2 linked regions of the Lytechinus pictus genome follow. The protein of the gene in region 1 purifies or fractionates together with the protein of each later gene. This does not show direct contact. Links are inferred from orthologs where the notes say so. Each region holds a gene or a part of one and is shown on either strand. Other genes may lie near its edges.

Evidence for each region.
Region 2: the proteins of DNA-directed RNA polymerase III subunit RPC5-like (region 1) and DNA-directed RNA polymerase III subunit RPC7-like purify together in Homo sapiens (co-immunoprecipitation; 5 studies listed by BioGRID and IntAct, counting the BioPlex papers as one, with this or other methods). This does not show direct contact. The link is inferred for Lytechinus pictus from reciprocal best matches to the Homo sapiens genes POLR3E and POLR3GL.

Annotation. Positions count from the first base shown.
Region 1 is NC_087254.1:1,610,084-1,617,644, forward strand, and holds the start of DNA-directed RNA polymerase III subunit RPC5-like, read left to right. Parts: upstream 1-4,551; 5' UTR 4,552-4,598; intron 4,599-6,293; 5' UTR 6,294-6,314; coding exon 6,315-6,371; intron 6,372-7,561. UniProt on the Homo sapiens protein: DNA-dependent RNA polymerase catalyzes the transcription of DNA into RNA using the four ribonucleoside triphosphates as substrates.
Region 2 is NC_087249.1:25,193,811-25,200,909, forward strand, and holds the start of DNA-directed RNA polymerase III subunit RPC7-like, read right to left. Parts: upstream 3,016-7,099; 5' UTR 2,893-3,015; coding exon 2,767-2,892; intron 1-2,766. UniProt on the Homo sapiens protein: DNA-dependent RNA polymerase catalyzes the transcription of DNA into RNA using the four ribonucleoside triphosphates as substrates. Specific peripheric component of RNA polymerase III which synthesizes small RNAs, such as 5S rRNA and tRNAs.

The DNA of each region.
Region 1 (7,561 bases):
GGAGTAGAAATCAGATATTGAATTCATTTATATCCAAGTTCAACTCACAGTCACACCCACACAAACACATCCAAGATTCTAAGCATGAAAAAAATACCTTAAAAAAATCATACAATATTAAACAATAAGTAATAATTCTAAATAATAAAGTAAACAGTTATTCCTCAAAATACAAAAACGTAGCATTTGAAAAGAGGCCCTGAAATGAAAAAGTAGCCCCCGAAAGAAAGAAATGGAGCCCCGAAATTTTACAAAAAATTGAAAATGGAGCCCCCGAAAAAAAAAAATTATATTTTTTCCGTTTCCTCACACATATTACGACCGATTTCAAAACCTCGCATGCGTACGCGTACTCACGGCCAATTTCAAAACATCGCATGCGATCGGTCGCGCCGATCGCATGCGATGTTTTGAAATCGGCCGTGAGTAATATGTGTGAGGAAATTGATACTGGCCCAAAATCACCAATTTTGAGGATAACCGGAGGATGGACACGGAGTGAAATACGGGTGTAGAGTAAGATATTAAGTTATTTATCTTTCTTGTTATATTGTTTTTCTTTAATTTTTACAATAAACATGATTTCCATCCCACCTTTGTGACACCGAATATCCGATCGAGTTCACCGTCACGAAGTTCGGGTATTTGGAGCGTAGTGTAGCGGAAGTGGAGTGGAGCCTGCACGAACTTCGCCCGAGGTAAACCTAATAATGATATTCCAATATAGGCCCACTCCCTAATTATCGATCTCAAATGGATTTTTCTTAACACTTGACAATGACCCAAAAGACAGTATACAATTTAATTACATTGGTTAGATATATACAGATAGATGACAAGCTCTCTCGAAGGTTCATCGTATCCATGAAAAAGTTAGTATATAAGCGTTGGTAGGGGATATTGGGGTTTATTTGAGAATATTTTTGACAAAAATGGCTGTAAAATCCAAATAGATTTGAGAAACAATATGTCAGCTTAAAGCATATATCTAAGGGCTTCAAACGTACCCCATGAAACTTTAAAACTCTATGATGGTTACTGAAAAACAATCCACCTTGAACAAGACCATCGCAAGCTTTCCAACTTACCCCATATACGGGGTAAGTTGGAACGAGGTATGGGGTAAGTTGGAACACTGCATGGTCAATTAAAAATTATACTTAAACTACTTACAACTGTGATATTTTAGTTTTAGCCTATTTGCTTTATTTTTTCAAGTTCAAAATATTAAAGGTGTATTCTGATATGTTGAACTTTATATTTTCTATATTATACAGCCACTCATGCAAGCCGACTGTGTAGTAGAATTCTGCATATTTATGAGTGTTTGATTTTACATGCAATTAAGTGTATCATCAATTTAATGTACTTCTGCATCAAATTTACATGACAAAGATAAATTGTTTATATTTTTTAATTAATTAATTATGCAAATAAACATGAAATTTGCCCTTTAAAAAAAAAAAATTTTGGTGTATGTTTTTGCCTTTAACTTAATCTATTTAGCTAGTAGAATGCTAATTTTTGGTGAGAGCATCAATTTTTACATTTGTAACAAATACCTACGAAAAAATTGCAAAAAGTATAATTTCTTATGTATTTTTTGTTTTTTATACGCCCATCCTGACGGGACGTATCACGCTCGGTGTCTGTTCGTCCATCCGTTAACTTTTCCTTGTAAACACGATAACTTCAGTTTAACTTACCCTAGGCTCATATAATTTGGTATATGTATGATACCAGCATGGATCCCAGGAAGCCTTTTTACTTTTGGGGTCAAAAGGTCAAGGTTACAGTGACATATTTTCATCTTACCCTTCTGCAGTCCTTGTAAATGCGATAACTTCAGTTTAACTTAATCTTGGCTCCTATAATTTGGTGTGTATGATACTAGCATGGATCCCAGGAAGCCTATTGATTTTAAGGTCAAATGGTCAAAGGTCAAAATCACACTGACATGTTTTCATCTTGCCCTTCTGCAGTCCTTGTAAATGCGATAACTTTAGTTTAACTTAATCTAGGCTCCTATAATTTGGTGTGTATGATACTAGCATGGATCCCAGGAGCCTATTGATTTGGAGGTCAAAGGTCAAGATCACATTGACATGTTTTCATCTTACCCTTCTGAAGTCCTTGTAAACGCGATAACTTTAGTTTAACTTAATCTAGGCTCCTATAATTTGGTGTGTATGATACTAGCATAGATCCCAGGAAGCCTATTGATTTTGAGGTCAAGTGGTCAAAGGTCAAGGTCACATTGACATGTTTTCATCTTACCCTTCTGAAATCCTTGTAAACGCGATAACTTTAGTTTAACTTAATCTAGGCTCATATAATTTGGTGTGTATGATACTAGCATGGATCCCAGGAAGCCTATCGATTTTGAGGTCAGAGGTAAAGTTGCCACCTTCCACTTTTCTTGCTTGACCATTAACTCCATTTTTCTGCATTACAGGCGGGCGTATAATGTGCTTGCCTTAGCGACACTCTTGTCTTTGTATTTCTTTGTTTTTTCGAACCTTTTTTTATATTCTTTTTCCTTTTTTTCTGATGAACTTTGTTGGGGACCCTTTTGCATATTAATAAATCCATTTGAGCGAGCAAATTTTAAAATAATCATATATTCATGATTTTCGTTCGAAAAACACAATTTGCATTGACCTTGTACATTCGAGCAATTTTGGGTCCGACATGCACGTACAAAATGTTGCATGATTTTGAAATCACTCACCCGGGCATCGCAAATTTGGTCTCAAATGATGCACAAGACTTGAAAGTAAAAAGTCAGTGAGCGGTGCAGTTAGAAAATTTCGCGCGACGGTGAAGTGACAAATTTATCGAGTGGGGGGACTCAAATTGAGGGTTAAGGGTTAATAAGGGTTAATATTGCATAAGGGGCCCATAGTAGTCCTTAAATGCACACTCAAAACAAGCATGGTTTACAATACATATTCAAAAGAGTGTGAAATATTGTATACATTATTTTCTCAAATCCAGTGTTTTATTCATTTATGTTTGGGGTAACTTGGAACATGTTATAAATAGCCCCTTCAATTTTGTTTCAACTAGCCCCAGAGGCCCATGCAGGTTGCTACATAACTTTTTAAAAGTACTTGCCCAGTCGGGCAAGTAAATTTATGAATAGTTGGAATATACTTGCCCAAAAATCTATTTCACTCGCCTGAAAAAATCTTTGAAATTTTGTGTTTTTTTTCTCCAAAAGAAAGTTTTGAGGTTTTATAAACCATTGACCTTTTTTCTCTGTTTTGACATGAACTGATCTACTTTCTTATTGCATTTCTTTTTCCAAAGTGATTTTATCTTGCCTGCCATGACCAAAATCATATAGACCCTAATTTTGGTCATTCTACTGTAAGCATTTTGCTTGCCCAATTTGGGCAAGTAGTCTTGGTCTTTACTTAAAAAACTTGCCTGACTCTAACTTTTACTTGCCCCGGGCAATTGGGCAAGTGCTTATGTAGCACCCTGGGCCTATGTAGCATTTGTAAGCTTACAGCACAAAAAAGGAACTTCACCATGGCATATTAATAACCTTATTTTGTAGCTTGGTGCAAGTGTCTATTATACCCCCAAACTGGCCAACTTGATCTATAAACTTCTCTGAGATAATAAAACATTTCTGACAGAGAAAAAAAATACTCAGTTGAAAAAACGAAAATTCCTTTCTAACTTTACCAGGCTTATTGTACAGTGTTGTCTGTAATATGGTGGATGGCTGTTGATAATGGCAATAAATTGAGGGCAGTATTGCATAAATTAACCCCAATCTCCCCTATGTTATGTTCCTCTGCTTCCAACCCTTTTACTTAATATAATGTGACTATATACCCATAGGCAGATCCGAGCCCCCCCATTGGCGGAGCAAAAAGAAAAGGGGGAAAGAAAAAAAAGGAAAAACAGAAGAGAATAAAAAATAGGAAAACAAGAAGAGGAAGACGGGTGAATTAAATAAGAAGTGGCAATGACTTAAAAAAATGAAAGTCACTATTCACAGCCAATCTGGAGTTCTTTTAAGTCCTTGGAATTTAGAGTGTAAGAATTAAGAAAGGAAGGAAGAAAGAAAGAAAATATTGCATCTTTTATTAATCGCGAAATCAGGCAAGACTCGTCGCCAGAGCAAGTGTCATGGAACCTATACTTTAGACAAGACAGCTTCAAACTGATGGGACATTTTTATCTAACTCTGTATCTAACCTCCAACATTGGATGAGTGGTCTGTGACTGGAACTTACTTTCAACTAAAGCTATCAAATCTTAAAGAGTTTTGGGGAACATTGATGTACTGAATTACCGATTTTCAGATAAATTTAGTGAAAAACTAAACAATTGTAAATTGGTTATTGGAAAGAGCATTAGTTTCTATTGAAAAGAAAACAAAGAAATGGTAGTTGGAGAAAATGCTAGAAAAAATGAGAATTAACAACTACATGTAAGGTGCCCTATGGATACTGACATTGCTAAAGATGAAAAATACATGAAACACACTTTCATTTTATTCTGTATTATTTTTGTTTTTCTCATTTCAGGTCGATGTTTACCTCTCAAAGGAGTTGGCTGAAAATTTGTATTGTTTTCAGGTGAGAAATGGTTTTATGAAAAATCAAGCTGCTGATAAATATGTCTAAACGAAACAACATCATTCTTCCTAAATTCCCATATTTCATGTTGACATTTTTATTCATATTGATTTTATTTTTGTCTCACCTGCATAGCAGATCAAGACTCATTGCTTTTAGCATCAACAATTCTTTATTTCTTCATCAATCTTGATTATTATACTTGGCTCAAATAATCCTAGGGTAATTCCATGTGTGCATGTCCTTGAGGATGATGGGGTCAAGGGTCATCTAGGGGTCAAAAGGTCAATTTGTCCAACTTGCTCTTCATTTCTTCATCAATTATGTTCACACTTGGTACACATACAATTGTTGTGTAATACCACATGTGTGTCCTTAAGGATGACTGGTCAAGGGTCATCGAGGGGTCAAAAGATCATAGTGCATATTTTATTGATTGTGAAATCAAGTGAGACTTGTGATTCATGAGCCACCTTGTATGATCAGCATTGAATACATGTATGTTCCTTCTTATTAAAAAAAAAAGAATTGTAAACCCAATTAAGGGATTTGCATTACATGTATTAATGGGAGAGCTTGTGATTTATTCAAATCCTTTCATTGTGTGCAACAAAGCAGAGCGAGACGACTATGCTAAATGACACATGCACGACGGACCCCTCCCCCCCCCCCCCCCCCATAAACCTTGAGGGTACTTCAACCCCCAGCATCAGGATCGTCAATCACTGAAGGTTAAGTTTTTGAAATGTCATCATTCATAAATAAAAAAAAGTATATGGGCCTAGTTCATGAAACTTGGATATATTGGTTATCAAGTATTACTCAACATCCTGCCAGAGTTTGATGTCACATGACCAAGGTCAAAGGTCATATAGGGTCAATGAACTTGGACCATGTTGGGGGAATCAATATCAAAATCTTAACCGAAGGTTATGCGCCTAGTTCATGATACTTGGACATAAGAGTAATCAAGTATTACTGAACACCATGCCAAAGATTCAGGTCAAATGACCAAGGTCAAAGTTCATTTAGGATCAGTGAACTTTGGCCATGTTGGGGGTATTTGTTGATATTCATCATAACTTTGAAAGTTTATGGATCTGTGCTCAAATATCTTCGATTAAAATCGATTTTAAAGCATTGTTAGTACAGTGGCAGATACAAATTTTGACCAGTGCGAGCATTTTGACATCGATACAAATTGCGTATTGATTTTCTATGTAAACGGAATTGTCACAGTTTCATGTACATGTACACAAAGTCTATGGGGAAACGGAATTTCTGTTTTCAGACATGCTGAAATGGAATATAAGATTTTCTGAAACGATAACTCACTGTCCCTTTTTTATTATCATACGAATGTTTCTTTTGTGAATAATTATTCAATAGCTGTTTTCAAAGTCAGCACTGCTGCTATATCAAATCGCGTAATGCAGGCGAGACTGCCAGAGGCACTCCACTTGTTTTCATTAGACAGATGGGGGAGAGTGCAAGATGGCATCTGAACATGCCTACTGAGGTTTAAATAAATTGAGTTAACATAACATCCCCTTATACTTTGTTCAATTTCTTTTATACATTCACCCTCTCATTTCTCTTTTGCTGTTTTCTTACAATGATTTTGTTATATATTGCATTTTCCTATTTCTATGACTGTAGCATTTTACGTTGGTCTTTTTTTATCTTTGCATTCAGTATCCAGTTCGTCCCAATCACATGTCCTATGATGACTTTGAATACACATCAGCTCGGATCAAACCTAAACAGAAAAAGGTACACATCAATTAACAAAGGTTTGAATGGCATATTACAGCATGGATCCATTTAATAGCATCTTTTCTTATTTTAACAAAGTCAAAGCCACTGTGAAAGTCTGTTCGTGGGATTCCTCCTAAAACATGTCACATCTCTCTTTTGTGAAGCACTGTGATATAAATCTAATTTTGTTTCAAAGGTTTTCCTTCTAGTGTAGTTTACTGTGCTTTGTTTTTGAGCAGATACCCATCCCCATTAACATCAAGATTTTTAGCCAGCCAAAAGCTTGTCCATGACATCGAATTTAGGCTGGCCAAAACTTTTCTCCTATATTTTCTCCTTGCCTGCAAGTTGATTATTAACATTGTTGAATTACATATCCACTTTATGCACAGTATGTCTGACAAAAATCAGTTACTATTCATGAGAACAATAGAAAATATATCTGTAGTATCTAGATCCAGTATTGGGACATTTTACTTCATTGGGCCATTCTCCTTTGTAGCATGTATAAACCCCATCTCTTGCCTTTTTGCCCTTAAAGGTCAAGTCCACCCCAGAAAAATGTTGATTTGAATAAATAGAGAAAAATCAAACTAGCATGATGCTGAAAATTTCATCAAAATCCATTGTAAAATAAGAAAGTTATGAGATTTTAAAGTTTCGCTTATTTTTCACAAAACAGAGATATGCACAACTCAGTGACATGCAAATGAGACGGCTGATGATGTCCCTCACTCACTATTTCTTTTTGTTTTCTATTGTTTGAATTGTACAATATTTCATTTTTTACAGATTCGACAATAAGGACTAACTTGAATGAACCATAGAGTATTAAACAATGCTAATTCCACATGTTCATGGAGGAATTCATCATTGTTTCGCTTGACAATGAGAAGAAAATTAGAATACTTCATATTTCATATAATAAAATACAAAAGAAATTGTGAGTGGATGACGTCATCAGTCTCCTCATTTGCTTACCGACCAGGATGAGCATATAACTGTTTTGTGAAATTAAGCGAAACTTTAAAATTGTCATAACTTTCTTATTTACATCCGATTTTGATGAAATTTTCAGTGTTATGCTTGTTTGATTTTCTTATTTTATTCAAATCAACTTTTAGTTGGGGTGGACTTGTCCTTTAATGTATTTTTTTAATGGAAAGTAGTTTGTTCTGGCATGTGCACCTAAAGTCTACCTGTTT
Region 2 (7,099 bases), on another chromosome or scaffold:
AGGGGCCAAAACGTGTAAATAAACTTGTTTAAAGGGTTATTTTGCACACAGAGAAAAACTCGTTTAGGGGTTGTTTGGAAGTAAAGTTCTTTCGTCTACCACCATGACTACAGCCAACATAAACACTGCAATTGCATGGATGCAGCGGTGGTCATACTTTTGACTGCGATTGTGATGTTTTTGAATAGGCAGTGAATTTGTAGCGTGATTTGGAACTACCCCTAATCGACCATCTAATTTTATAAGAATCGTATCTGCATAAGTATTTATAAGTTTTACCTAGTTTTTGTCTTGCGATGACTGCGTTTCTATGCGCATAAATATCAGCGAACAACAAATACGACAATTTCACATTTGCAACCTTCTTTTGAAACCAACCACCTGCTATACACTGACATTACGGCCGATTCTCATCGCGGTGGCGAAATATTTTAACTCTTCCAAATCAGTTCTATGATGTCACCATGCTAAATGATTGTCTCATTACTTCCACTGCAAGCTCCGGCACATGATTCAACGATTGACGATGGATATTTTCAAATTTTTGAAAATTTCAGTTTTTTTCGTAGAAAACTACATTTCTTTTTGTTTGTTTAAACCTCCTTTGGTATTTGAGCCATGGTTGAAGCTTTTTTATTGTTTAAAGCATTGATTTGCGAAGCTGTGACTTATTGGGAAAAAGTTGCAAGTTTATTTGAATTATTTCTTTTAGTACAAAAATCCTGGAGTTGTACATTGTACAAATTTCAATGGAAGTGATTTAAATCAATGATTAAAAAAAATTAGTGAAAGTGGAGTAGGGGGTAGACAGCTGGCAGCCATCTGTTTCGAGGAGTTTTTTAACATTTATTTATTTTTTTAATTTCTCCTCGTACACAGACGGCTCGCTATCGTGCAGCCACCATTAGGGGACTTACAATGCAAAATCCCCCCGTCGGGGCTCTTCAATTTTTGTCTTTAATGAATCAAACTTTTGAAAATTAACGCGACCGAAATGCAAATTAAAATTCCCTCTTGGCACTAATTGCCAAAAAACGGGGGAAAAATCAAGTTAAAAGGAATGAAAACAGTGATTTACCTCGGCTGTCGCGCAACTGCACTTCCGTTTTATCAAAACTTAATACATAAACATATGGCCATTGAGTCCCCTGTAGAGATCGCGCTAGAACTTCGGTCTCTGTATTTGGTGAGTGAAGCCAACGGAGTTCAGCTGAACAACCAACATAATAGAGAGACCGAAGCTTTTGGTCTAAGACTAAGTAGGGGGCTAAGTGCATGTTAACCGCTTATTGAAGGATTTATTCATGCTTTGATGATATAAAGTTGATAAAATCTTTCTATTTTGAGTAAAAAAACATATAAAAACTGCCGCAAATAAAAATATTGTCAATCATTTGTACATCATATGTTTCAAAGGAAGTGATTTAAATCAATGATTAAAAAAAAAAATCATCTGTGGAGAAGGGCCGTTTTAGGCACCTATGGGTACATTACCGCCGCCGTCCACAGGATAACCACTTGCACGGCACTTGCAATGCCTTTCGGGCTATATATTTTAAATTAGCAATATATATGGATTTAAGATCAGATAAGCTTTGGATATGAAACTTACAAAACGATATGAAGCCAATTTCAATTCCTCTCTGTCTTTCTGGTACTTTATATCGATGATCTTTCTTGATGTCGAAGCAGGCATGGCCCCGATTCGCTGGTTCTCTCTATACGCACAGAGAGCGCGCGCAATATTATTTAATAAACTTGCTTGTTTACGTCGTTTACGTCAGATCAGCTGTACTGCTGGCTGCGTTCTAGGCGCTCCGCATTTTTTTCGCTGTTCAGCGTTATTTTATGATGTAGCACCATCAGCGATTATACGTGACATGCAACCTGTTGATTTTTGGTACAATTTCCTATTATGCGCCGGCGACTTGAATCTAGACTGTTCGATAGGAAAAATTCGCATATCGATCGTTGTTTGCATAATTTCCACCGCAGTATTAAGGATCGGATGGAGTAACTGGCTGAGATTTGGAGGTAAGCGTTTAAAATCCATTTCTATAGATAAGTTCGTGCTGATTTTTAAAATTAGATTACATTATAAATAATATAAGATTAAGATGACTAAATTTAGTAATAGTATATTGTGAAGATTTAGGCGTGTTTCATATTCTCACATTCGTGTGATGAACGAAAACGTCAAAATTCATTATGAAATGACATGCGTTGTGCGAGGTTAGTATACTAACCTCGCATGCTTGTGTGAGTGCGTTTTAGGGGCCTAAGACTAAGAGTAAGACTAAGTCTGAGACATGTTAATTGTTATTGTCATGATTGTTAAACCATAACATAATTTATAGGCTACCTTGCAAGATCAACCTGATTTTACTGACATGATTTCAATTTTTTTAGTAGATATGAAGCATTTATTTATGTTTTGATGATATAGAATTGATAAAATCTTTCTATTTTGAGGAAAAAAATAAAACTACCACAAATAAAAAAATGTCATTGTCAATCATTTGTAATTGTAATTGTAGTGTACCGTAGGCCTACATGTTTCCAGTGGAACTGGAAGTGATTTATATCAATGATTTAGAAAAAATCATAGAGATTAAAATCACGATTTCAATAATGATTTAAATCAACGTGATTTGAATCAGCCCATCCTGATGATGTTGAAATCTTGAGACATATTTTAGTCGGAATCGGAACGGCAACACCGTGCGCATTTTTGACCAACATAATTTGCAATGATGTGGGACTCACAGGAAAAAGCGGTGGCGGCTGAGCAGTGGGAGGTGGCAATGATTCTCCTCCTCTTCCTAATCCAAGGGCATCAGCAGCAAACGACGACCCTCGACCACGCCCGCGACCTCGACCTCTTCCAGCCATAATGAAGTAGCACTGGTTTGTTGTTTTAAAAGGAACTTAAACTTAAAACAATAAATAAGTTCTTCCTCTAACCCACTTGAAAGTATGGTGTCTTTAAAAATAAAATTGGTATTAACTTGAATTGAATTTAAATAAATGTGACTAGAGCTATAAGGGGATGGAAATATATATTTTGGCAATTTTATGAAATAATAAATAAAATCAGAATGATACGTTGAGATATTGCTTAATATTACACGTATGTGTGAAAATGAGCTATATGGACATGTTTGGTATAAATCTAGAACTACTCCCACCCCATCCGTGATCCTGATGATGATGATGATGGTGATGATGATGATGATGATGGCGATGATGACGATGATGATAATAATAATAATGATAATAATTATAATAAATGAATAGATAAATAAATAAAGATGATAACAATTTAATGATGATGAGGATAATAAGCAAACAAACATGTAAATGAATGGAATCGATGAATAGATAAAAATCCAATTGCTATACGTAGAGACAAGCTTAATTTTACTTTTATTTTATAGACAGGTATAATTGCCCCTTATTAATAAAAAAAAATCCCATTGCTATACGTAGACAAGCTTATAATTTGACTTTTATTTTATAGACTAGCTGCCCCGGCCTTTATTCCAAACCAATTAACTCCTTCTGTATATCCTTATAAAATTATTTCGGTACTTTTCTCTGCTGTGTGTATCGATTGTGAGGGTCTGTGAATAGTTCCAGTGTGTATACCGTCAAGCCAGTGGAGTGGCACCCTCCGGGTAAAAAAAAATGGAGCCTATATACACCCTACACCCGACAACACCCTAGCTCTCTTATTTCTCTCGTATACTGGTAACCTATAGCGTTCTGTGTCAGGCTTTTATTATTTCTGTGCTTTTGTTTTGTTTTTACTAGGGTTTTTACCTCCTGCGCTTAGTGTAGTACCTCATCCATACCAGACCCCTCTATATATATACATCATGATCCCGCCCTCTATCCTACTCCCTTCCTTTTTATAATAGCTTTCACCACTTTCACCACCACAAATATATTGCAGTACATGACAAAAAACTTATTTAAGGGAACAATCCCTTCAAACTGTTCATGTGACAACTCACTGTCGGTTGACGCGCAGCAGCTTTTTCAGTAAAAGAGTGATCCAATAATCTTGGAATAGTTTGCCTGCAACACTATGTCCTCCAGTATTAACTCATTTAAACACGGATTAGATTCTTTTTGGTCATGCATTACATTTGAAATTGTCTTACATCCACGCCCGCACTGTACTTAATTGTTAGACTTTTAATTATGCATCAAGCGTTTACGACCGGGAGATCTACAGGGCTATATACCTACCCTCCCGTACAGATGATGATGATGATTAAAGGGGTGTTTTTTAGTTTTGGACGCGGGCCGCGTGTACATGCACTCATTAAAAAAACACCGCGATAAAAAAAAAAAAAAAAAACGGTGGTTTATATGGTCACTGGTCAATCACAGGGTCAAACGTACAGGGTATGTTTTTTTTTATAAACTATATAGCCATACGTGTTTAGGGTACGTATTTTTGCCCCCAAGCTTTTTTGCGACAACAATACATGTATATAGGGGCCAAAATAACTTTGCCCGCGAAAAACTTGTTATGGTGATTATTTGCACACAGAAAAAAACTCATTTAGGAGGTGTTTGGAAATAATTTAGTTACCCATGTGTACAGCAGTACATTTCAGGGGCCGCGGAAAGGTTTTCAAAGTGGGGGGGGGGGGGCTGATGACCATGCAAAAAGTCCCATTATATCGAGGTTTTTTACCTGACTACTAAGAAAGCACGAATGCCTGTGAGCAAGCAACCAGGGGACCGACAGCTTAAGGTCCTCTCCGAGGGACATGGTAATGAGGATAAATTCCTTACCTTCTCAGTTCAAAACAATTTGGATTTGTATCAGGACGATCAACAATGTTACAATTACTCAATGTGTTAAATGATTGGACGAATATGTTGGAGGTTGGTGGTGCAGTTGATGTCATCTACCTAGATTTCATGAAAGCCTTTGATAAGGTCCCACGTACACCAGAGACTTTTAGCCAAAATTGAGGGATTTGGCATATCTATAGCTCATATGTAAGTGGGTCAGAGGTCTTTTCTTGTTGGTCGACAGCACCGAGTTTGTGTGAATGGTGTGTTCTCTGACTGGGCTGATGTAACCAGCGGAATACAGCAAGGGAGTGTCCTCGGACCCCTGCTTTTTGTAATGTACATTAATGATTTACCGGATCAGATTTCGTCAAGTACTGTTAGTTTATTTGCAGATGACACCAAGTTATACAAGCATGCATGTTAATAATGACAGAGATGCTGAGTTATTACAAGCGGACTTAGATCGTCTTGTGTCATGGTCAGACAAGTGGCTATTAAAGTTCCACCCGGATAAATGTTGTGTACTTACTATTGGTACAAAGAATGATGAATTCAATGAATATACTATGACACATGATAATGCTTCACATAATCTATCACAAGTTGAAACTAGTAAAGATTTAGGAGTGATTGTCGACACAAAGCTTAGTTTTGACCAGCACTTTCAGTCAAAGATAAATAAAGCCAATAGGCTTATGAATCTAATTAGGAGAACATTTGTTTATTATCTTCACAAGGAGAACCTCCTACTCCTATACAAAGCATTGATTAGACCTCACTTGGAGTATGCTCATGCAGTATGGAGTCCATACTTAAAGAAACATATTCAAGCAATAGAAAATGTACAAAGAAGGGCCACTAAGTTGGTACCTGAAGTAAAGAACCTTCCATATGAACAAAGATTGATTCAACTAAAACTTCCTACATTAGCATATCGCCGTGCGCGAGGAGATATGATCGAAACATACAAGTTATTTCACAGGTATGACCAAGAGGTAGTGCCAGATTTGGGCCAGGTGCATGGGCCTACCAGAGGTCATGATAAGAAATTGTACATTCCGAGGTCAGTAACTGAGAAACGTAAGAATTCTTTTTACATAAGAATGAGGAAACCTTGGAATAGCCTAAGTAATGAATTACTAATGCACCCAGTGTCCACAGCTTCGAGAATGGACTGGATAAGTATTGGAAATGTGAACCTGTGAAGTACAAGTTTGACGCTGACCCACCAGGACATGCCGGCCAACCTAAAGAGGAGACAGAATTTGGAACTGAATATAGAGTCTTAGACTGCGTTCAGAAGCATCCATAAGTATCCATATAAGTAAGTAAGTAAGTAAAGCCAAGGGCACTAGCACAATCATATGGTCGTCATTTTTACGTTTTTGTACACGGTTTTTGAAAAAAGAGGGGGGGGGGGGGCTGAAGCCCCCCAGCCCCCCGCTTCCGCGGCCCCTGTATTTTGACTGCCCCCGGGAGTTTTGCCAATGATTTACCGTATTCGGCGTTGGTAATCGACTATGAGATTTAAAAAAAAGATTTAAAAAATCATGTGATAGCAAAGACACCATACCCAGTGGCATTGCGTGAAGACTGAAGCTCTGTAAAATTTACTTTTTGCGTGAGTTATTGACGAGTCCTGATCACTGTACATCTATTTTTGTGTGGTAAGATAGCCGGATATGAACTAATTTGAGTAGTTCTTTTTAAATAATAAACCATATGGGAGTTTACTATAGGAAATTATTCACTCTTTCCATTCTATCCAGTTACTGCGAAGTTAACATCGCATCCCTCAAACAGCCGGTGATTTCGATCGTGTGCTATCCGAACACATGTATCAAGGAATCGTGATATCATCCATTTCTTTGTGTGCGTAATATATTGCACGTGTTGCCGATAGTTGTGGTGTCCCCTGTGCACTCATTCGAATGAGGTCTCGTGTTTTGAAGGATGTCGCCTGCGCCTGTTTGACATCTAATGTTAGACAGACTAGTAGTGTTGTAACCCGCACCCGTTGCGGTACGGGTTAACCTGCCGGTATGCACCCCATCGCGGATTGCGGGCCGGGCCGAGTTCATTCTCAAACCCGCAGACCGTCATACGAAAAAAAGGGAGAAGTAACGACGCATAATAAAAACATTAACAATGAAAATTGAATTAGGATCATGTGCTTCTTACGTAGCGGATTCTTTTAGAGACGTAGATATTTCCTTTTTTAAAAATGCCGGCGTATTTTTGTCCTGTGAACAGTGAACAGGACTGAGACAGTTCGACATAATAT